4 linked regions of the Drosophila melanogaster genome follow. The protein of the gene in region 3 interacts with the protein of the main gene of each other region in a pairwise test. Each region holds a gene or a part of one and is shown on either strand. Other genes may lie near its edges. The genes, in order: CG5550, CG9184, Hey and CG13510.

Region 1 (4,002 bases), 8.8 Mb from region 3:
ACGGAAGGTGCAGCAGGCCTTCGACAAAAATCCGTTGCATATTCCAATGAAAATTCCTGGGGAAATTCAATCCTGCCGGTTTCTATAACGAATTGATACTTCCGCAGCTGAATTGAAAAAAGTGCCCAAATCAAATCGTTCCCACCAACATTCCCAGACCCAAAACTGCGGTATATGGCATATTTCTTTCTAAGTAGGGCTATCGAGGTTTCGCACACTATGACCGTGGAGCGATATAGCGATATGCGATACATTTGTCATACTCCACTCCATATGCCGTGAGTCGAGAAACTGCCGAGATCAGCTGATTTTCCGGGGTCCCAACATGAATATGAATGGGGAGAATTTGATATGATACTTTGCCTTTAATTACTTCACTTGAAAGTTGGCCATTGTACGTCAATTGAGTCATCATCATTATCCGTGCACCCGAGTCCAAAAGCCCGATAATAAATAACAAAAGCATTTGGGGGCTGCGCTGCGGTTATTGGATACACAAGCGGATATACAACACTCCCCATCAGAACTTTGGAAACGGGAATGGGGGCCTGGGCAGGAACTGGGCTGCCCGACAAATGTTTCTCATAAACCACAATTTGATATCTGCAAACAGAACTTGAGAACTTGAACTTGAACGGCGATGCAAATGCGAGAAAAAGTTTCTTATCAGCATTATGCGTTTTACAAGAAGTAAGCAATATTATTCCAACCTAATAGCGATCAAATAAACGGACAATGTGAAGGGGATTTCCAGTGTTTGCTCTCTATCGTTCAAATATTTAGGCCAATAAAACAAAAGCTGTGCAATCTATTTAGATATATTTACATAATTAAAATAGGTAAATAAATAAATTGAATGTATAACTATTGGTAAGTTTTTTACTGTTAGCAAATAACTAATCAGCTCATAGTTTTAGGCAGTTATCTAGTCAGTTAAACAAGTACTTCTAAAGTATCAAGGACTTATTTTGGTCGCACCATAATGTTAACAGTCTTGTAGCTGTATGTGAAGCCCTTCCATTCTCCCCAAACGATTCCAGAGCCAAACAGCGCGGGATCGGTGTGGTTTCCACCCAGATATGCACCATTCAGATTGCTGCAAGGGATTCTTTATGAGTACTATGATCTTGGAATCTTGGGAAAAGGTCAAAAACCTTACCTGCTAAGGCATTCTCTGTACCACCAGGCTCCCATATATCTGGCAGCACAGTTGATAGTGGCATTGTCGTTATCCCTATCGAAGGTGCTGAAAGGTTGGTACAGATGATAGCTCAAACTGTCTCCGGCGGTTCCACTGTACGCGCCCAGCTGGGTTATCGGGTAATTACTGTACACGTTGCCCACGTGAAACACACTGTAGTGGGCATACCGCTTCTCGCCAGCAAAGTCCACCAACTCAATATACAACTCTTGGGGTTGCAGGGACGAGATCTTGTTCAGATTATTCAATCCGATGAAGAAGTTACCCTTAAGGTCACCGAAACCCGTCTGATAAGAGGTCCAATTGCGGTAGAAGTTCTCCTCCACACTGACTCTTCGCTGGACGACCAGCCAGCCCTTTCCGGCGATTGTCACATCGCAGTACACTTCGATTACATCGGAGCCCACTTGGATCTTCTGGACACCGCTCTTCTTTGGGTTCAACTCCTTGCAGGATGAACTATACTTCTTGTACGTCTGGATCTTCACATTTTCACCAATCTCAGCGCTGGCCAAATAGAAAAGGCCTAGCGAAAATACGCAGAGTGCGAAGCAAATGGGTTTCATTGTGTTGGCTCGAAACGACTATCAAATCAGTTGGCCAAGACAAACCATTTTATATCAGTTGTATACTTCTTATCATATTTTTACTATTGGTCATTTTCGACCAGCCAGTTGATAAACCCCTTTTGATTAAATCCCCTCTACGATCTTTTAGTAACTAATTTGGACAAGAGATAAGAAACTACTATTCAGACAGTTAGTCATCTTTATGGGGGAGTTTTCTTGGAATATGCTATCTACAATCTTTACATTTTGACAACGTTGATAATTCCAAGGTAAACCCCAATTGTATTTTTGGGTATAACAAAGTTTTACTGTACTAATGAAAGATATTTCAAGGCACTCAATTAAAGTCCTTACAAAGGATATAATTGATTAAAAAATGATTCCAAAGGATGTTTCATGTTTCAGGGACGTTATATTGTTCAACCCGCCTTATAAGAATAAGGAAATGCGATTTAAATCTTTAAGCAGGTGGCATAAATAAGGTTCGTACCATGATGATTTTCATAATAAGTTTGAAAGGGCCTATCATGATAAACAAATTATTATTATTTGAAATTGATCAGTAAAATAAAAAGTATATCAACAAGTTTGAAGAAAAACTTGAGACTTCTATAATTTGCAACATGGCGCCACGAGTTTATTAGTAGCAAATTACCCGACTAGCACAAATCACTTTTTATCGAGAATTCTAATTATACGATAAGCTTAATATAAGCAATCACATTTCTTCGTAGAGATCGACTAGCTGATTTTGCCAGAAAATAGAACATAATACATTGAAGGCTCGGAAAAACTTCGTTCGTAGCGCTATACAAATATTTACAAAGAATCCATTTCCCATTTCCTGTTTCTAGGCAGTTGGATGCACTTTGGACAAGTGTCAAAAGGTGTCACCAAAGGTGCTACCACCCCTCACCATCAGATCATGTTATGTTTTTTTTTAGTTTTTTTTCTTTTTTGGTTTTTGACAACTTTTGGAATAATGTGACAGAGCATGTCGGCTACCAAAGTTGCACCGCCGGCGGAAAGAAACTACTATGGCGAGAGGTGACAACTCGAATGACAGCAGATATAAGAGCCACCTACAAAGTGCACACAAATACCCTACTCCCACTCCCACTGGTTTCTACTACCATATCTCGTACCACCAACATATGCCACACCATTATTCCAAGCAACAAACAAACAAACAAACAAATGAACAAATATTTGCCACAAAGAGCGAGGAAGACAAACCCACAAGGAAGACGACTGGGAGCCTGAAGAACGATAAAATGGCATTTATGATAAATACATAATACTCGATGTTTACACACTCATTCAGTAACGCATATAGAACACTGGGAAAAAAGTATTTCATTTTAACCTGGATTCAAAATATTACGTTATTTAAGCAGTCGGTTTAATAGTACAAGTAATCAAAATTGGTCATTTGTTTGGCTACCAACTAAAGGTGAACTAAATTGGATTTTAGGACCCCTGTTTTATTTTTTCAGTGTACGATATATAGGCAATAGACGTGTTGTCTACGGCATTTGGCACAGCGATGAGGAATGGAGGCGACCGGAATGGGAATAGGAGTTGGGGAGCCAGAAAAACAGAACAGAATTCAAGTGTCAAAGTGACAGTTTTGAAATTGATTGCAGCAGCAGCGACAATTGTGTGTGCGTTGCGGCTGATAAATAAGGCAGCTTTAAACCGACTTAACCGAGAGCCATTGGGGTTATCTAATGGAGCCAGAGATAGACAACCCAGATAGAATACCCCAGCTCCATATCAATATCAACTTGTTCATATGATTGACAGGCGACACGTGGTCAGCTCCCTGGAGTTCATGCGCATTCGATTATCGCGATCACGTCGCAACTGTGGCATAAACGATATTTGCCCCATACACTCTACCTAGCCCATTTTCCGTTCTGCCGATGACAACGGAATATAAATTAGAGGTGGAAAATGGCATAAATTCTTGGCATGCCTACGCGTATGAGAAATGAATCGATACGAATCAACCAGACCCATAAGCAAAATCCAAGCAAAGATCAAGCAAAACTCGAAAATTATTAGAAGTACGGGACGCCGTCTGTCAAATATCGCCAAACAAATTGACAACGAGGGGAGTGCGAAACTAACGAACGTTACGAATCCAACAGAACAGGAAAATAAAGCAAATTTATGGTCGAGTTCCCCAACGAGAGCAAAAGGTGACCAGCATGCCCCAAACACCTGGGA
Region 2 (3,938 bases), on a different chromosome or scaffold from region 3:
CAGTAGGAAAGGCAAAAACGAAACAAAACGAAACGCTTTTGGGCAGCTCTTTCAGCAGATTTTTTCTTTTTTTTTTGCAATTGGCAGTAAATCGCGTTCAAGATCGGCCTCAGCTGTTGACGCTTTTTATGGCTCGCAGTGAGCTAAGAAAACAGCGGGCCCCAGTGATTGTTTAATACTTAATGGTTATCCGAGACCGAGACCCAGGCACTTGGCATGCGTCACAATGGCGGCGTGATCTCCTCGAGATCTCCTCGTGCCCAGAAGACTCGTCCCTAAAAGCGGGTGACTCAGCAACCGAGCGTCCAGATTCTCTTATATACATATGTATTTGCAACCGGCTCGATAAGTTTGCCCAGTTTGAATTTGAATTTCCAGTCTTTGCGGGTGCGAGAAATGACGATGATGACGATCGTTTGAACGAATTCGATCATCTTTACTCTCGGTCAGCGGCCTCAACTGGGTTCTTTATAATCTAACGATCCATTCAGTTGGATGATCTGGCAAAGCTATTATCAGGGTTTAAGTAATCGTCAATCTCGAGTGGATTAATAGAAACACCTTCTGCCTTTCTCCTTTCTGCAATTCTGTTTCTACTATTATGGGCTTTCAGTTGGACGATTTCTTTAAACATTTATCCAGTCAGAATCGATTAGATATTGAATAGGGCTATAAACTAGAACGCATGCGATGATAAGTAAGAACTACAATGCATCACGCGGTTACTCGGAATATACATGGTACACAATTTATTAAGTTTTAATCAATGATTGGATTAGAGTACTTCAAGCCCTGGCCATTTGGAGTAGGTGATAAAGTGGCACAACGTTAGCGTTGTTCCTGCCGTCGAGGAAGTTCTGGTGGGACAGCACGGCCCTGCCCTGGAAAACGCCAGGAATGGCGGCGGAAGTGAGTCCATCGGCACCGGGAAGTTGGTTATCGACCTCGCCAGCCGTCGAGGAGCGATAGAAGGGATAGTAGGGATAGCCAGAATAGCCGCCAAAGCCGGGATATCCAAAGCCCCCATATCCATAGCCGCCATATCCGCCGTAGTAGTTGTAGCCATTGTAGTAGGGATTGTAGTAGGGTCCCGGCGGAGGAGGAGGTCCTGGCGGCGGTGGTCCGGGCGGAGGGGGTGGCCCCCAAGGACGCTGCGGTGGCGGCGGATAAGCGGGCGGTCCTGGCGACCACTGCGGTGGATAGCCATACTGCCGTGGGTGCTGCTGATCCTCTGGTGGATAATAGTAATGGTGTTGTACTGACGGTTTCGGGGTGGTCGACGGGGCTCCCGAGGCCATCACCAGCTTGATGCCGCCCTTACCAATGGTCTTCAGCAGGTGCTCGTCAATCCCGCGTCCACTTCCCAGCGGATCGTCCAGCACCTGTTGCTGCTTTTCGGTCCTGGCCTGTCCGCTGACCAGGCTCGTCTGCAGTGGCGCCTTCTCCTGGAAACAGAGGCCGCTGACCAGCAGCTGCAGGATAACTGAAAAGGATGTGTCACTCTTTCTAGGCAGCCGATCGTCCGTACTCACCCAAACCAATCGCAGTCACTCTCCGATCCATGATCTCTCTCGGAATAACCTGACCACTCCAGTTGCATTGCCCTTTTATACGCGGTGCATCTGTGATGAGATGTGTGGGATCTCGTTCCCGGTTTCCTCATTAGAATAACCCATGCAGTGGCCCAAATTTGGGATGCCTTTCTTTCTTCTGTGTCCATCTCCATCTCCATCCCCAGCTCCAGCTCCAGCTCGAACTCGATCTCGATCTCGGATCGATCAAGCACCGTTCTAATAACTGCGCTCATTAATTTGCATATGATATAAATGCTTGTAGGGGCTTTGTGGGATCTTTCCACTTCTCATTCCACTTCCATGATCGTTCTGCCAGCCCTGCATTTTTCCAAATGAATTCGAAGAGTTCAATATCCCGCGATATTGCTGCTTGATATATGACGACATTTGAATGCAGATGAAGGTTGGTCATGCCACTGAACAAAAAAATATTCAGCAAAGCTCTTGAGTTGGCAACAAATTTTTTGGAAATATGTGCCCTTGAACTTATTGTATTATCGTTGAGTTTCCGTCTTTAGAACTTATCTTTACTTTTTACGAATGTATTTCTCCATCTCGCTACAAAGCAAATCAGCCTCTGCCTCTTGGTTTCCTATTCTTAATGCTCGACTATTTCTTTCGGTGTGCGATTAATGGGTTAGGAACTTTTTCGTTTGGGTGGGACTCATGGTTTTTGGGTTCCGTTATAGGTCGTGTGTCGTAGACATGTTTACGAGTCGTCTGATACAACAAAATGTGGAGTTCTCTGTTACATCACCCGTTGGAGTATTTCTGGATCGGGAAACCAGTTCCCCACTCTATTAGACCGCTGAATGGGGATTAAAGAAAGAGTGGATCAAGCCGACAAAAGCAACGCCCCCAGGGAACAGAAAGTCAATGACTTCATAGTAGGGAGAAACCGTGTTATTGCAGGGATATTGAGCAAAGTATAATTATAATGACTACACACTCATTAATATTTACAGTTTAATTCATTTTATATCCCCCAGCTAGTTTATCTAATCATGAAAGTATCTGTAGAGGCTTGCCCCGCCACCCAGTCAACTTTGGCAACTCTCTTATCATACAACATATACTCGTGTCAATTGGATCCCAAACAGTTCCATGAGATCTGCACTCACCTGCCCTCCAACTTGTGGATTCCTTAAATAGACGTAGCATAATCTTAGGCGATGGTTGGTTTGTCAAAAGTGCTAAAGTGATTGCAGAATGACTGCAAATGGCTGTGCCCATTGGGTGATGTATTCGTATATGGTTTTCGACATGATCGATATCCACTTCCATCTGCCCTACGTGCAATTAAACAATTATGTGACAAACATCGAATCACGGCGAGCTCGGCTCCAACGACTGGGACGTGTCTGCCGGTCTCTTCGAGAATTCCTGGGAAGTCTTCCCGGCAAACATTTCGCAATTAGTCAGGCATTCGTTCCAGTTCCACACAGCAAATCCCCTTCCAAGTGGCGCAGAGTGGATGGAAACACACAATAGTGGCGGTGGAGGCAATTGCAATCTAGTGTGTGTACTTACAATGTTTTCATTCGGCAATGACTTATTATTTAGCACACTGATAGCTGATAACACAGTGCTAATGTGAGCTGGAGCACTTTTCTGAGTCGGGGTTGTGAGTTTCGAGCTCTGACTCACTCAGAAATGTCCCGAAAGCGCGGCAGTCATCTAGAAATCTTGAAAGCATTAAGTTATAATTTACATTTTGGAGAAGCAAGTTTATGAAATTAGCTAATTGTGGAGCAAGAACTAAGTAAAGGAATTCCTTATGTACATTGAAATCAAATCCTTGATCTTCGCAATAATGGATACTAAGGACTACATAGAGTAAGCAGTGCTAAGATAAAGAAAGTGAATAGATTATAAATCATATAGAATAATTCTTGATTAGTTATCTAAAAACCAAGAAACTGGTTCGCGTAGCTAGGAGGAACCACATTATGAATCAACTGAAAACATTGGGTTGCTCGGAATGATGGGAGATGGGAACGCATATATCTTTAGGATTGACGCATGCGAAAAAGACGTATCGTGATCTCAGGTACTTGGAACTCCGGAATACAGCCGATCCGGAATTCTTTGGTGCGCTGCGTTTCTGTCATGGTCTCCTAAATCGGGTCCCGAGTTTATTCGCGAAAGGCACTATCTAATCGGGGACTGATTGGCGGCATTGCCCTCCTCATCGCAGTCATAGGTATATTATCGTTGATAAATGTGCCGACTAAAAAAAAAGAACAACACAAATTCCGACGAGGCCAATTGATATGTGGAGAGGAGAAGTATTGATGGTTAAAACGCCTCAACTGCCAGCGGATCGGTTTAGTTTGCCAACGGAGCCGTCAAAGGGCGGAATAT
Region 3 (5,628 bases):
CGTGTCGACGTAGTCCTTACCGGCCTCGTACAAGGCGAAGCGAGTGGTGGTATAGGTCAGCTGGCGAAACCAGGAGGCCGAAATGCCATTGTAAAAGCCCAAGATTCCGCTCCGCTCGTGTATGCCTTTAAGGATCTCCCCCACGGTCTTCCGGTCCGCTTGGGATTGGGTCTGCAGCTGTACCTTGATGAGATCAATCGGATGGGTGCCGGTGACTGCGATTGCAGCGCAAACCCCTCCAAACCACCAGCGCGGGAGGCGCCTCGAACTGTCTTCTCCCATAGACCGAACTTAATTTCTTGGAATTTTTTTTTAGAAACCCTAAGCTATCTGACGTGTAAAACTAAAAAGAATTCGGTAAATTTTTCGCTGCAACGAATTGTTCCCATTTAGCTAAGGATAATTCAGCCGCTATGACGGCGAACTGGTAGTCCTCGCAGTGACAAAGCGCACCTCAAGAATGTTCGTTAAAATTAATATTTTCTCTGATAATCCAATAATAGCACTAATCAAAGTATGCGTCATTGATATACCTCAAATTTTTGAATGTGGATCGTCACTACTTGTTTAAACTTTTTTGATTGTTTTTAATAATTATACCCGTTACTCGTGGATTATATATATTCTTATATATTATATATTATATATATATTTTTGATCGGAATCAATACCTGATTCAATCTGGCCATGTCCGTCTGTCCGTCTGTATGAACGTCGAGATTTCACGAAATATAACAACTAGAAAGGCTTTCCTGATCCGAATATCAATTATCAAGCGAGTTTCAACATATTCACTTATACACTCATGCGTTTATTTACAATAGATTCACAAAGTGTTCAAAGTTATAGTTATCATAGGGTATAACTTAAGCTTAAAGGCTTACGGGACTAGCTAATCTCACTGCGTTGTTTCTCCATTTTTTTCTCTCTGTGTAGGATGCGAAACTTAAGACTATCACACTTGGTCTGCTCTGACTAGAGGTTGAAATATCCCTTCTGAGGCTTATGCCCACAATCAATAGGCCATCTCGGCGCCCCAAGGACGATAGGGCTTTGCTCCGTTGGGAGTGGCGTACTGCAGCACACTGGAGTTGTTGTAGTCCTGGCCTGGCAGTCCGCTGACCGGATACTGAGGAGCAGCACTATAGCTAAGGCTATCGGAACCTATGGCCGCTGGACGATTGCTGTTGGTCAGCTCTATGTAGGTGGGAACCTGCTGCTCGGAATGCACTGCGCTGTGGTCGTGGGTATAGTGTTGCTGCTGCGTCGGCTGAGGTGTTGTCTGCGTCCGTTGCTGTTGCTGCTGATGCTGCTGCTGTTGGTGTTGCTGCTGCTGCTGCTGTTGCTGCTGCTGTTGCTGCTGCTGTTGGCTGCTGCTGTCAGAGTGGAGATCATGGCTGGGCAGCGATTCAGTTACGGCACTTCCACTTGTCCGCGAGACACTGGTGCGTCCTCCCAGTTGCTGAGCCTGCTGAGAGGGCGAGGCACTTAGTGTGGGGTAGCTGGACACATAGGCACCCGGGTTGGCTGGCGCCGCATAGCTCTGGTAGGGAGCAGCCGCACAGTTTGGCTGATAGCCGGAGGAGCTGGGAGCAGCCGGAGACCAGCCACCCGGACTGGCGCAGCTCTTGGCCGACAGTTCGCGCTGCTGCACAAAGTACTGGAGGTGGGACATAAGGCGCAGGCGCAGAGGATCCTGAATGTCCATGCCCTCGATGGTGACCAAATAGCGGGCCACCTCTGCGGCGCACTCGCGGAACCCAATGATATGGTAGTCCATGGCCACTCGCTGCGGATCATAGCTAAGCGAGTCGAGAGCTGCAACAAGATACGAGGAGGTGGAGAAAGTCAATAAGCTGTCTAATCCCAGTTCAGGCAAACAATTAAAATAGCTGTTCCCACGCGACGAGCATAAAGAACAACCCCCATGTCCTTCGGCGGGATGGCTTGTTGTGAGGTGGCTATCGGGGGGTGAAAGCCCGCGCCTGGCTACAAGGTTGCCATCGTGGTGGTGCCGCTACTGAGCGTGGGAAGCCCCGAGATTCGAGATTCACTTGAGCGCTAGGCTGGCGCTGGTGGTGGTGGTCCTGCTTTGCCTACGGCAATCATAATTTTCCCACAATTCGACCCTGTTCGGGACAACAGGTCAGGATTGTTTACCCAGATTTGTGATAATTTGCCGCATATTGTATTTAATATCGTTACTCAATTGTTTCCCACAGCGGCTTGCGTTTAGGGATTCTGCTTGCAGTTTTTCCCATTCCAATTTTTTATAATGTATTGAAGTTCATATGTATGTCAGATATGCCTTGATTAATTAGTGCGCTAAATGGGCCCTAATGTAATATTAACTGTCGAAATAAGAAATTACTTTCTTTACACTTTACTTCTTTTAGTTAACCAACTTAGTTGGCTGCCCAAGTTAACCCTCTATTTGCTCCTATTGTGATTAATGACCCATAGAAGCGTTTAACTTCAGTGAGGAGGTCTGTGGTGCAGCTAGCCTATTTGCTTTTTAAAACCTCTTTAAGCTAGCTCAAGTGGGCTTGGTAAACTTACTTTTAGACTGCAGACTCTTGAGATGCTCCACGGTCAGCTGAAGGATTTCGGCCTTCTCCAGCTTGGCGGATCCCTGCTTCTCGTAGGCGGAGGGCACCAGGCGCTTGAGTTCGGTGAGCGAGGAGTTGATCCGATCCCGCCGCTTCTTCTCGATCACTCCGCGTCGCTTCTTGCGGCTCATCAGTTGGCAGCTGCCCGGCTCACTGGGCGAGATTCTAATGGAACAGAGGAAAGGGTTTCTATTAGCTATGGATTGAAGTTAATGATAGATTCTTAATCTTAATATCTTAATCTTTCATAGACTGAAAAACACTCTATGGTGTTACTAAAAAAACCTCTAAGTTACAGAACATTTTAAAATCTATCTTTTCTTAAAACCCTATAGTTTAGTGATTTATATTTTGATGGTTTATCAGCAACTTTGCGTTAAGTGGAGTTATCCATGACTTCGATTCACTAAGTAAATATCATGACGCACTATTTTTTTTAGCAACATAAAACGTTTGCACATCGCATGGTATTTTCAAAGGTTTCATTTTACAAGACAACTCCTAACTTGGGAACTGCGAATAGCTTTTTGTGCACTAAATTGAAAAACAAATTTTGATAAGAAGTCACGAGTACGCACTGTTCCTTGGAGGACTCCTCGGAGTAGAGATCGTCGCAGTCGCTCTCGGAAAGCGTCCGCTTCAGGCTGCCGATGCCGTGGCTATGGCCCTGGCTATGCCCGTGGCTGTGGTTGCTGTGGGCGCTGTGGTGGCTCTGCGGCGGCGGCACCCAGTGGCTCTGGGGTGTGGTGGCGGTGGCGCCGGGCATGACCACGCCGGGTCCGGCGGCGTAGCCCCAGTGATGCAGCGATGGCGCATTGACGTGCATGTTGTGATCCATTGTGTGTGGTGACCAGTGTTTACTCGCTGCTCCTGCGCACTTGACACTACTGTGTTGATGTTGCTGTTGCTGAGCTGTAGCTTTGCGTGCTGCTAGTTGCAGAGGCAGATGCAGTTGGCGGCTAGACCGGGCTGGCGGAGCTAGTTTGAGCACGTGACTTATCGTGTGCGCGAACGGCGTTCGACTGATTCTGTAGCACACGTCGAGCGGACGACCTGCCCTCCGCTGCCGCCGCTCAACCCCTTTTTACCGCCTGCGGCAGCCGTCCAATAAGATGCAGCAGCAACCACCCCCTGGCAACGCGCAGCGCGTGCTTGCCGAGATTGGGGTAGGAAACGGGAAGCAAACATATTCGCCGCGCGGCGATCGCCGCCAAGTGAGCAAGTGAGAGTGTGCGACAAGGAGCGACCAGCGCCGGCAAATGAGCAAGCCTCTGTCATCGATTCATCCGATTGTATCGCCCGACCATCTGATATAGCCTTTCAGCAGCCTCTAAAGCATCTAAAGCATCTAAAGCATCTGCAGCACGGCCTTTAATCGGCGCCGTGGGCGACAAACTGGCGGCGTCCGCCGTCCACTTGTTTGCCGCTGGAGCGGCTGCACCCGTCCATGGAACTCAAACTGGAGCACGCGCCGGTCGTGTGGCATCGCGTGGCGCCGGGTAAAGCCCCAACAAGTGCAACAGCCGCCGTTGACCTCTATCTGTGCAGTGGGACGCGTGCTGGTGGGTGGCCCACACAGTTCTAGGTCAGTGCCGGCTCAAGGTTGCGGCATCCCGGGTCCGGAATGGGAACGGGAACATCCACAGGTGCAGAAGCAGGAGCAGGAGACGAGATAACAACGACTGCGGCAGCAGGTGACCGAAGTTGACCTAGAAATTGCCCGAGGTAAAATCGACTTGTTTACCTAGAAATATGCTAATGCGGAAATAATTCACTTTAATGTTATCGAAAGCAGCGTTTCATCACAAAGGGATATAAGGAACTTGGATGGCGACGGTAAAACGTAAATATGTTGTACAATTTTACGAAAAAGCAGACGTGAGCTTTATCTTTTTCTTTATCTTTTTGATTTGCCATTATAAACTCTTAGATGCGCTTTGTCACTGCATTTCGAATATTCACATGATTTAATCCATTCTAAATTTTTTGCTGAATTGGCTAATCTTATAACTTCCTTAATTGTTCCTTGTAATTGTATGAACGCTGAGCTCTCGGGAACTATAAAAGCATGAATGTAAAACTAGTTACTAGGATTAAGAGCTAGATTGTTACAGAAGATTGCAACGCCTACTCTTAAGGACACAAACCGGCTAAAACTGCCACGTCCATACTTTTGCAAAATTGTCATATTTTTTAAAAATATTTTGGCCACTCCCAGTCTAATGGCCACAAGCTGTCAATCTAAAACTTTTGAAAAATGTTTTGATATTTTTGATTTCACTATTTTTTTTGACAGCTTTGATCGCTATTCCACCAAAATTTGTCAGTTTTTCTAATGATTTTACAAGCTGAGATAGTTAACATCGAAATTAACGTTCTGTCTGTTTTGGTTAATGTTTCCCCATTAACTTTAATGTAATATATTTTGACAGTATTGTGTTCATAAATTCAATATAACAAGCTGATCAATGTCAATATTACCTATAAATTTTATTATGATAAACTATTTCATCCAAAATTTCCCATTATTTCTTATATCAGCCGCACGGAATGTGTGTTTAAAGCTAGCAGTAGATTAAAAACAATTAAAATGCGAATGAAAAACAGTATACGGTGGAGCTGATATATTTACATATATATGTACGTTGTGGTTTGACATAACTTTCCCTAATAAAAACTATACTTGAATTATCGTTATGCAAAAATAATTCTTCTGTAGATATCTATGTTAAAATGTTCATTTCAACTCCTTTGTCCTGTCACCCTAAAGAATCCCAATATTGCTATATGAATCCCTATACTATTGTATATACTTTTATATCCCTTTACTATTATATGTTGCAATTTCGCATATAACTGGAAATATCATTAGTTATTCTCCCCCACAAAATGATTTAGTGTAGCATTTCTCCCATTTTCTCGATTAATTTCGATGGTCGAGGCGTAAGCTTGACTATAATGGAGCCCCGTATCAATTTCAAAAACGTACATCAAAATCGAAAATTATAAAAAGTGCTTT
Region 4 (6,553 bases), about 15 Mb from region 3:
TGTGCCATGTGGCAAGCTTCGTGCCGACGCCGTCATCGCACAACCGCGTGTGTCTGAGCCCCGCTCAACCCCGATTCCATCCATCATCTTTGCTCGTCGTTTGGTGCAACTTGCTTGCTCGGTCTGGTCCTATCCAAAATCAACACAATCTATTTATGTATGTTCTCACTAGCGCAAACCACCCAGCACAGTATCCTTATTTAACAGCGGGTGTGTCCGTCGCCAGTGATTAACATTCCCCCCGAAATCCTACTGTCGTCCTGTATGTCTTTGCTGAGTTCTCCCCCAAGCAAAAGTAAATTTTTTGGGGAGCGGCAAAGCAGCGGTAAACATCTAAACAACCAGATATTACCCAATTAGACCTGACTATAATAGTCCGTTGCTCATGTTTGACCCAATCCTAGGCTTGCATAATATATCTCTCCCGTCATACTTACAATCTGTATGGGTGGGTACGTTGTCAAAATAAATAAAGTAGAATTCCGATTTCACAGAGAGACAAAAAGTTAATGCGCACTGTTTGGGCTGCGAAAGTGTTGTGCGGTCAGAAGTTTAGGGCGCGAAGCGGGACACTACACTTCCAAAAGTATTTCCGTTAGCAACATTATGTTGCCTAACTGGGAAGTGATATTTATATACATCCTTAAAATTGATTACAGCGTATCCCTAGGCTGAGTTAAATTAAAATCCTTTTATTCCATTTCTTAAGAACTAAACATTTAGCAGAAATTCAAATATTTTACTAAATATTCAATTATAATGCAAAGAACTTCAGTGATTTCATTTAATAGCATGAACAGTAATCTTGAAGCATCTTAGCATCAATTTAAACTGTGCCAACATGCCGGTTCGTCCCAGCAACATTTTACCGGTTCAAAACAGTTTCATATCAACATTTATTGCTGGACACAAAAGAGTTGTGCTACGAAAAAGTTTCGGGAAAAGACCGCCAAAAAGTACACAAAAACAAAAAAAAAAAACGTATGAACAATTAAGTTTCACATTATTTTTTCTGCAAATCTAGTTGTCTGCAGCAACAATGTAGCCAGATACCCAGAAACAGAAATTAAAGAAAATTCCATTCGCTTCAAAATCTATTTGTTTATTTTTTCGCTGTCAGCTTATTTTGCTCACTAAGCAAACATATTTTTATGTATGTTAAGTGATGAAGACACCACATTGACGCCGTCGATACATAAGGAGATATGAACATACATACATATATGTATGTATAGTTGGTTATGTATATATATATACATATATATAAAATGAAATGATATGAAATCGGCGAGTGTTTTCGCTGCGTCTTCAAAACGAACCCAAGCAGGAGTTGCAGTTGGGACAGTACTGGGAGGTCTTGTAGCAACAGTTGCAGCAGCAAGGGGCGCAGACGCAGGGCCAGCATCTGGTGGATAGAGATGGGAAATAGAGTATATAGCTTATAAGGCACGATCAGCAATTTCTCATAGCTTGTCCAGGAAGAAGCAAAACAATTGCGGCCACAGATATAGCAGACTAGTAAAAACATTTCTTTTTCCGTTTGCTTACATACACATTATGTATGTACAAACCTTTGTTGCTATACTTGCAACCATAAATGCGATCTACTTACAGGAATAGGCAGAGCAACGCCGCCATACAGTAAGTTGATCCGGTAGGATGGTGCTCCACGCGAAGGCGAATCCGAGCGTTGCAGTGGGGACAGATCGTTCCCTGGCGGGTATTGTCCACCAGCACTGTCGTCTGGTGATGCATCACGCTTACGGGCTGCAACACCGGCATGGTTTGGGCCATCACGGGTATCACCGGATTGGGATGTGCGGGCGACGCCAGGTTCTGCTGCATGACGTCCTCCGCTGGAGGAGCGGTGGCGAATGGATCCGAGTAGGGCGGCGGGGAGTCTACGCGCTTGTAGCAACGCATGCTTTTCTATACTCTTCAAATCACACTAAAAATATCAACCAGTTGCTTACAGCTGCGAACGAGCACTGATATAATACTGAAAGCTTCCGTATATGTATATCGATGACAGTTTCATTAAACTCAGAACTGCCTTATCGGTATCGGTATTCAATTGATTCGCTTTCCTCATATTCTGGGTATTTATCCTAATACGAATATAAAATCTATCTACTGGCACACTAGGTGAGGAAATTATGGACCAGAAAAGATTACTTCATATGTGCAGTGAGAGTAGTAGAAACCATCCGTCATTAACAAAAAGAACTTAAATTTAAAACGTTATTATTTTATGTATCTGTATACATATATGGCTAATCTTGATTAAGTCTTGACATGGAAGGCATTTTTGGCAGTGCGGAGACACAGCACTTGATCAAATGCTATAGCTCCCAATGTGGCATCCACAGTTGGGACAGTAGTGCTGGACACTCTTGCAGTAGTTGATGAAGTAGGGAAGGCAGATGAAGGGCCAGCAGCTGGAGAATCAGGTTAGCAAAGTTAGTAAGCCCGGTGGTATCCTGACGCCCCACTCACCAGCAGATATACAAGGTCAGAGCGCACATGTGGGTCTTGCGGGTGGGGGACGTGGCCAGACTGGTGGTGACCTCGCCCCTGCAGGACGGACACCTCACCCTCATCGGCTTGCAGCCCACAGCCAGTGGATGTGCGCCCGGCCCCACTCCGTTCAGGGTGTAGACGGGTATCTGGGTCACCACCACCCCATAGTTTGGCTGCGTGGTTACGGTCACCATTTCCGTGTCGGCCGGTTCTGGAGCTCTGCCCATCCATGTGCTGCTCATGTTTGCGGCGGGGCATGCACTGAAATAGCCCGCCATTTAATGACAACATTGCTCTATCGCAATCGTTATCTTTTCTGACTAATCGACAAGTACTTTTTAGGTGAAACCTACTATGACTATGACGATATGGAGGGGTACAAGAGGAGTCGGCCAGTGCAGTACCTAATCGATTGACATTCGGTTCCAGTAGCTCTGTGCCATTTGGCCATTTCCAGTTGTTGGCTTGAGTAGGTGCCAGAAGGGTTTATGTTTCCTAGACAACAATTGATATAGTCTTAGCTATTTATGATATTTATGATCCATTTTACTGATTACGGTTTTTAAGCGATAGTAAAAAGTAAAAAGATTGTTTTAAAATGGTCATTAAAATGTTGGCGTTGGTTTCTCGTAATGATCGATCGAAATTGTTTAGTACCAGTACAAAATGTAGTGGAAAATACTAAATAATGTCAACATTATCATAGACATTTCTGAAAATATTAAATTACTTCATAATCCATTTAGCGGAAAGAGTGCCTTGTCCCAAGATATCTTGTCGCATTTCTGTTTCCTGTGTGAGTCTCATGAGTTTAATGTGTGGCGTTCGTACATGTGTATTTACAGTTCAATTTTTCTCGGTTATGACGCTAGTGCTTAGGGTTCTCTATAGGTATATACGTTTGTATGCATAAATAGGCGTTAGTTAGTTAGTTCTCGTAGGTGCCGATGTAGGCGCTGCAGTTGGGGCAGTAGTGGTTGGCATTCTGGCAGGAGTCCATGCAGTAAGGTAGGCATACGCACGGCCAGCAGCTGTGTGGATAGAGTGGAAAACGAATCGATTAGATAAGTTCGGGGAATTAAACTATTAGTCAGAGCACTAATTCCGAATTGGCCTTTACGACGTCTACAGGCCGTAATCAGTCAGTTTGCTTGCTTTCACCCCGTCTTTCCACTCGGATTCGTTATCTGACTCAACTCCAGTTCCAGTTGAGATAACAATGTTTTCACATATTACCAGTACACACAGTCGCAATACCTGTAGAAACCTATTGTTTTTTCCAAGCGATAAGGGGCCGCAAGTGGTTCATGGGCGTAGCTTTTTAACATTTAACCGAGCTATTGTAACGAGTTGGCAATAAAATGGTTATAGAACATTTCTGCTTGGGCGATACGAAAACATATCTAGATTGTTAGGATATCATCTATAGGATATCATATCATCTATGTATATTACTGAATTTAATAGGCAACATATCCGATTTGTATTGCTTTTAAAAATGGTTTACTCCATTTTGCGCAATTTTATAAAAAGGTCATTTGACTGGATTAATGAAGCACTAAGTCCCCCCTAAGATACTTTCGTTGGCCCAAAGCTCCTGAGACCAATCAACATACATACATACATATGGTGGCAAGCAGTGACTTCAGATCAGATGACTAGTGACTATAAGACTCACATGAACAGGCACAGGATGAGGGCCCAGCAGTGCGTCCTGCCGGAAGGAGTGGACTTCACGGTGGTCAGTACTTCGGCGTGACAGGAGGGACAGCGGATGCGGGTGGGTCCACTGCCGATGGGCACCAGGTTGGAGGTTGTGGTGGTCTGGATGATCACCGTTGAGGACTGCGGTGGCTGCGGCATCGGTGGGTACAGTGGTGGCTGGGTGGGGCCACCGGGCTGATAGGTTTGTGCGGGAGTGTATCCGGACTGTTCACTGTACGGTGGAGGCTGCTTGCTGTCCATAGTTTCGGATTATGTTTCTTCTTGATGCAGACTCTGGATTTCCGGCCGAACTGAACCGATCGCTTTGCTGGCTGGCGTTGCACTGAGGAACGAACTTAAACTGTGGCTCCCGCAATACCTCAACGATTGGCTACTATCTTATCGTCGAGAGGTGATAGCTACCATACAAGTGGGGTTTCTGTCGAACTAATAATCGGATACCTCTTTTATTGTGCACTTGATTTAGTGAGCTACAGCGATGCTTCTCCTCCGAATAGGCGACAGATGAGTCACTTGTTTGATAACACCTTTATTGCATATAAAGGCAATGAATAAGGCCAAAATATACATATGTAACATTTAGTACGTGTATTTTGCGAGGAGAGAGTATAAACAAACACAGGTTGTCGACTCGAGTGCTCTCGCCATAATATAATATTTTTGTAATTTACCAAATGCGTGACCGGTTTATATATATGTACATATGTAGATATGATTCTTTGCCAGTTGAAGCATCATCATTCCATTTGTGAAGCCTTTATTTTTTTTAATTATTTATTGGATATTGGATATTAATGTGTAACTTGCTTAATTTGTGATTAAAAATAATATATATATTTTCCGTGCTTGATACTATTTCCTGAAAAACCTTATGAAATGTCTTAATTATTCAAGTCAAAATAAAAACAGACTTCGATCTTCAATGGGTTAAGATAACTGTGTATATTTTTTATAGAAAAAGCTCCATTTACCACCCACTCGCCGGCAGCTTTGTGGAAGCTTTCCTCATGGGATCTACGTTCAAGTGCAGCCGTTAACATCGCAACCATGAAAATAGTGTTAGGCAAATACGGGGGCTTGACAAACAGATGAACAACTGGTTTGTCTAACTCCCCCCTCAGCCCAAAAAATATAATAATAAATCCCCCTCGCCAAGCGATAGCTGTTTGACTTATGTTTCTTATGTTTCAATTGTAAAATAACCCAATTTATAGGCAAATAGAAAACCCGAGTCGAGTCAGTTCAACAACATGAGCCGTCAGCTAAAGTTCCACCTTCAAGCTCCCGACGACGAGGAGTTCGCAGCGGATCTGGTGGAGATTAACCTGAACCCCAACTGCGGCCAGGTCAAGCAGAAGTCGGCTCAGGCCTTGGACCAGCTGCTCCTGGCCACGCCCCCACACAGAGGCTATCCCTACGGCTATGCCGAGGACTCCGAGCCGGATACCTACTTCTGCCGGAAGAGCAACTCCACAGGCCAACTGGCCGAGAAGGTATCACCTCCGCCGCCCGCTGCCACCAACATTAGTTGCCTCCGCCAGATGTACTGTCCGGAGTGCCACGAGCGATTGCACGAGCAGGGAGTCCGCCTGGAGCGACTCCTTACCATGTGGTGAGTGCAAGGCCAGGACATTTCTTTAAAGTAAATTCTTAGGATGGAATATAAATAAGATTATTTAATCGTAGTATAGGGCTATTAGGATAATAACAAAGATCGGAAGTATTTATATTTCTAATTCAGATTATTTCCTTATCCATTTCCAGCTGCTTTGCCCTGCTGCCCATCTATCCCTGCTGCCCGAGGCGCTCCACCAACGATTGCAAGGTCATCTGCGGCAAGTGTGGTTACCTCTTGGGGGCATGGAAAAGACAGTGAGATGAAGGGATGGGGGTCGTGGGTTGGGGCAAACGGAGTGGGTGCTCCGCTTATAATTGTTTGTTTTGTTTAGTTTTTAAGCACTTTTTGTTGACCTTGCGGCGAGTGATGAGCGCTGCTGAGACTGAAGAGCCGAGTGCCAAAAAATTGTTGATTGCTGCATGATTCTCTCAGTGGTTTCTCTTCAATTAGATCTCTTTGGTCAGATAGATCTCTTTTTCGAATTTCACTGCCTCGGGATTCGCCAAAATGTTTAGCACTTGACGCCGGCCAGTCGCAATGTCTCGGGGAAACGACTTGGATGCGGATCTGGAGGTGGATCTCCAGGAGGGGGACAGGGATAGCCAGTCGGCGGCCACCACTGTCACGCTGGAGGAGCGCCCTAGCAAACCCCAGGTGCGATTCTTCAGCATCGGACCCAGCAGCTACCAG

Evidence for each region.
Region 1: the proteins of Hey (region 3) and CG5550 interact in a two-hybrid assay, tested with the Drosophila melanogaster proteins (one large-scale study listed by BioGRID).
Region 2: the proteins of Hey (region 3) and CG9184 interact in a two-hybrid assay, tested with the Drosophila melanogaster proteins (one large-scale study listed by BioGRID).
Region 4: the proteins of Hey (region 3) and CG13510 interact in a two-hybrid assay, tested with the Drosophila melanogaster proteins (one large-scale study listed by BioGRID).

The regions. Positions count from the first base shown.
Region 1 is NT_033778.4:16,814,379-16,818,380, reverse strand, and holds CG5550 (uncharacterized protein), read right to left. Parts: upstream 1,793-4,002; 5' UTR 1,768-1,792; coding exon 1,160-1,767; intron 1,109-1,159; coding exon 964-1,108; 3' UTR 804-963; downstream 1-803.
Region 2 is NT_037436.4:1,321,220-1,325,157, forward strand, and holds CG9184 (uncharacterized protein), read right to left. Parts: upstream 1,588-3,938; 5' UTR 1,564-1,587; coding exon 1,533-1,563; intron 1,484-1,532; coding exon 786-1,483; 3' UTR 573-785; downstream 1-572. Other genes in the region: Myo61F (myosin 61F), read left to right, coding at 3,352-3,410.
Region 3 is NT_033778.4:7,994,646-8,000,273, forward strand, and holds Hey (Hairy/E(spl)-related with YRPW motif), read right to left. Parts: upstream 3,634-5,628; 5' UTR 3,448-3,633; coding exon 3,188-3,447; intron 2,775-3,187; coding exon 2,560-2,774; intron 1,819-2,559; coding exon 1,016-1,818; 3' UTR 793-1,015; downstream 1-792. Other genes in the region: Dic3 (dicarboxylate carrier 3), read right to left, coding at 1-282. UniProt on the Drosophila melanogaster protein: Transcriptional repressor which acts as a downstream effector of Notch signaling.
Region 4 is NT_033778.4:22,655,921-22,662,473, reverse strand, and holds CG13510 (uncharacterized protein), read right to left. Parts: upstream 4,574-6,553; 5' UTR 4,486-4,573; coding exon 4,199-4,485; intron 3,552-4,198; coding exon 3,449-3,551; 3' UTR 2,763-3,448; coding exon of another isoform or gene 2,497-2,762; intron 2,439-2,496; coding exon of another isoform or gene 2,336-2,438; 3' UTR 1,924-2,335; coding exon of another isoform or gene 1,613-1,923; intron 1,406-1,612; coding exon of another isoform or gene 1,309-1,405; 3' UTR 1,085-1,308; downstream 1-1,084. Other genes in the region: CG42565 (uncharacterized protein), read right to left, coding at 1,309-1,405, 1,613-1,923; CG13511 (uncharacterized protein), read right to left, coding at 2,336-2,438, 2,497-2,762; CG43325 (uncharacterized protein), read left to right, coding at 5,496-5,857, 6,010-6,121; CG43326 (uncharacterized protein), read left to right, coding at 6,401-6,553.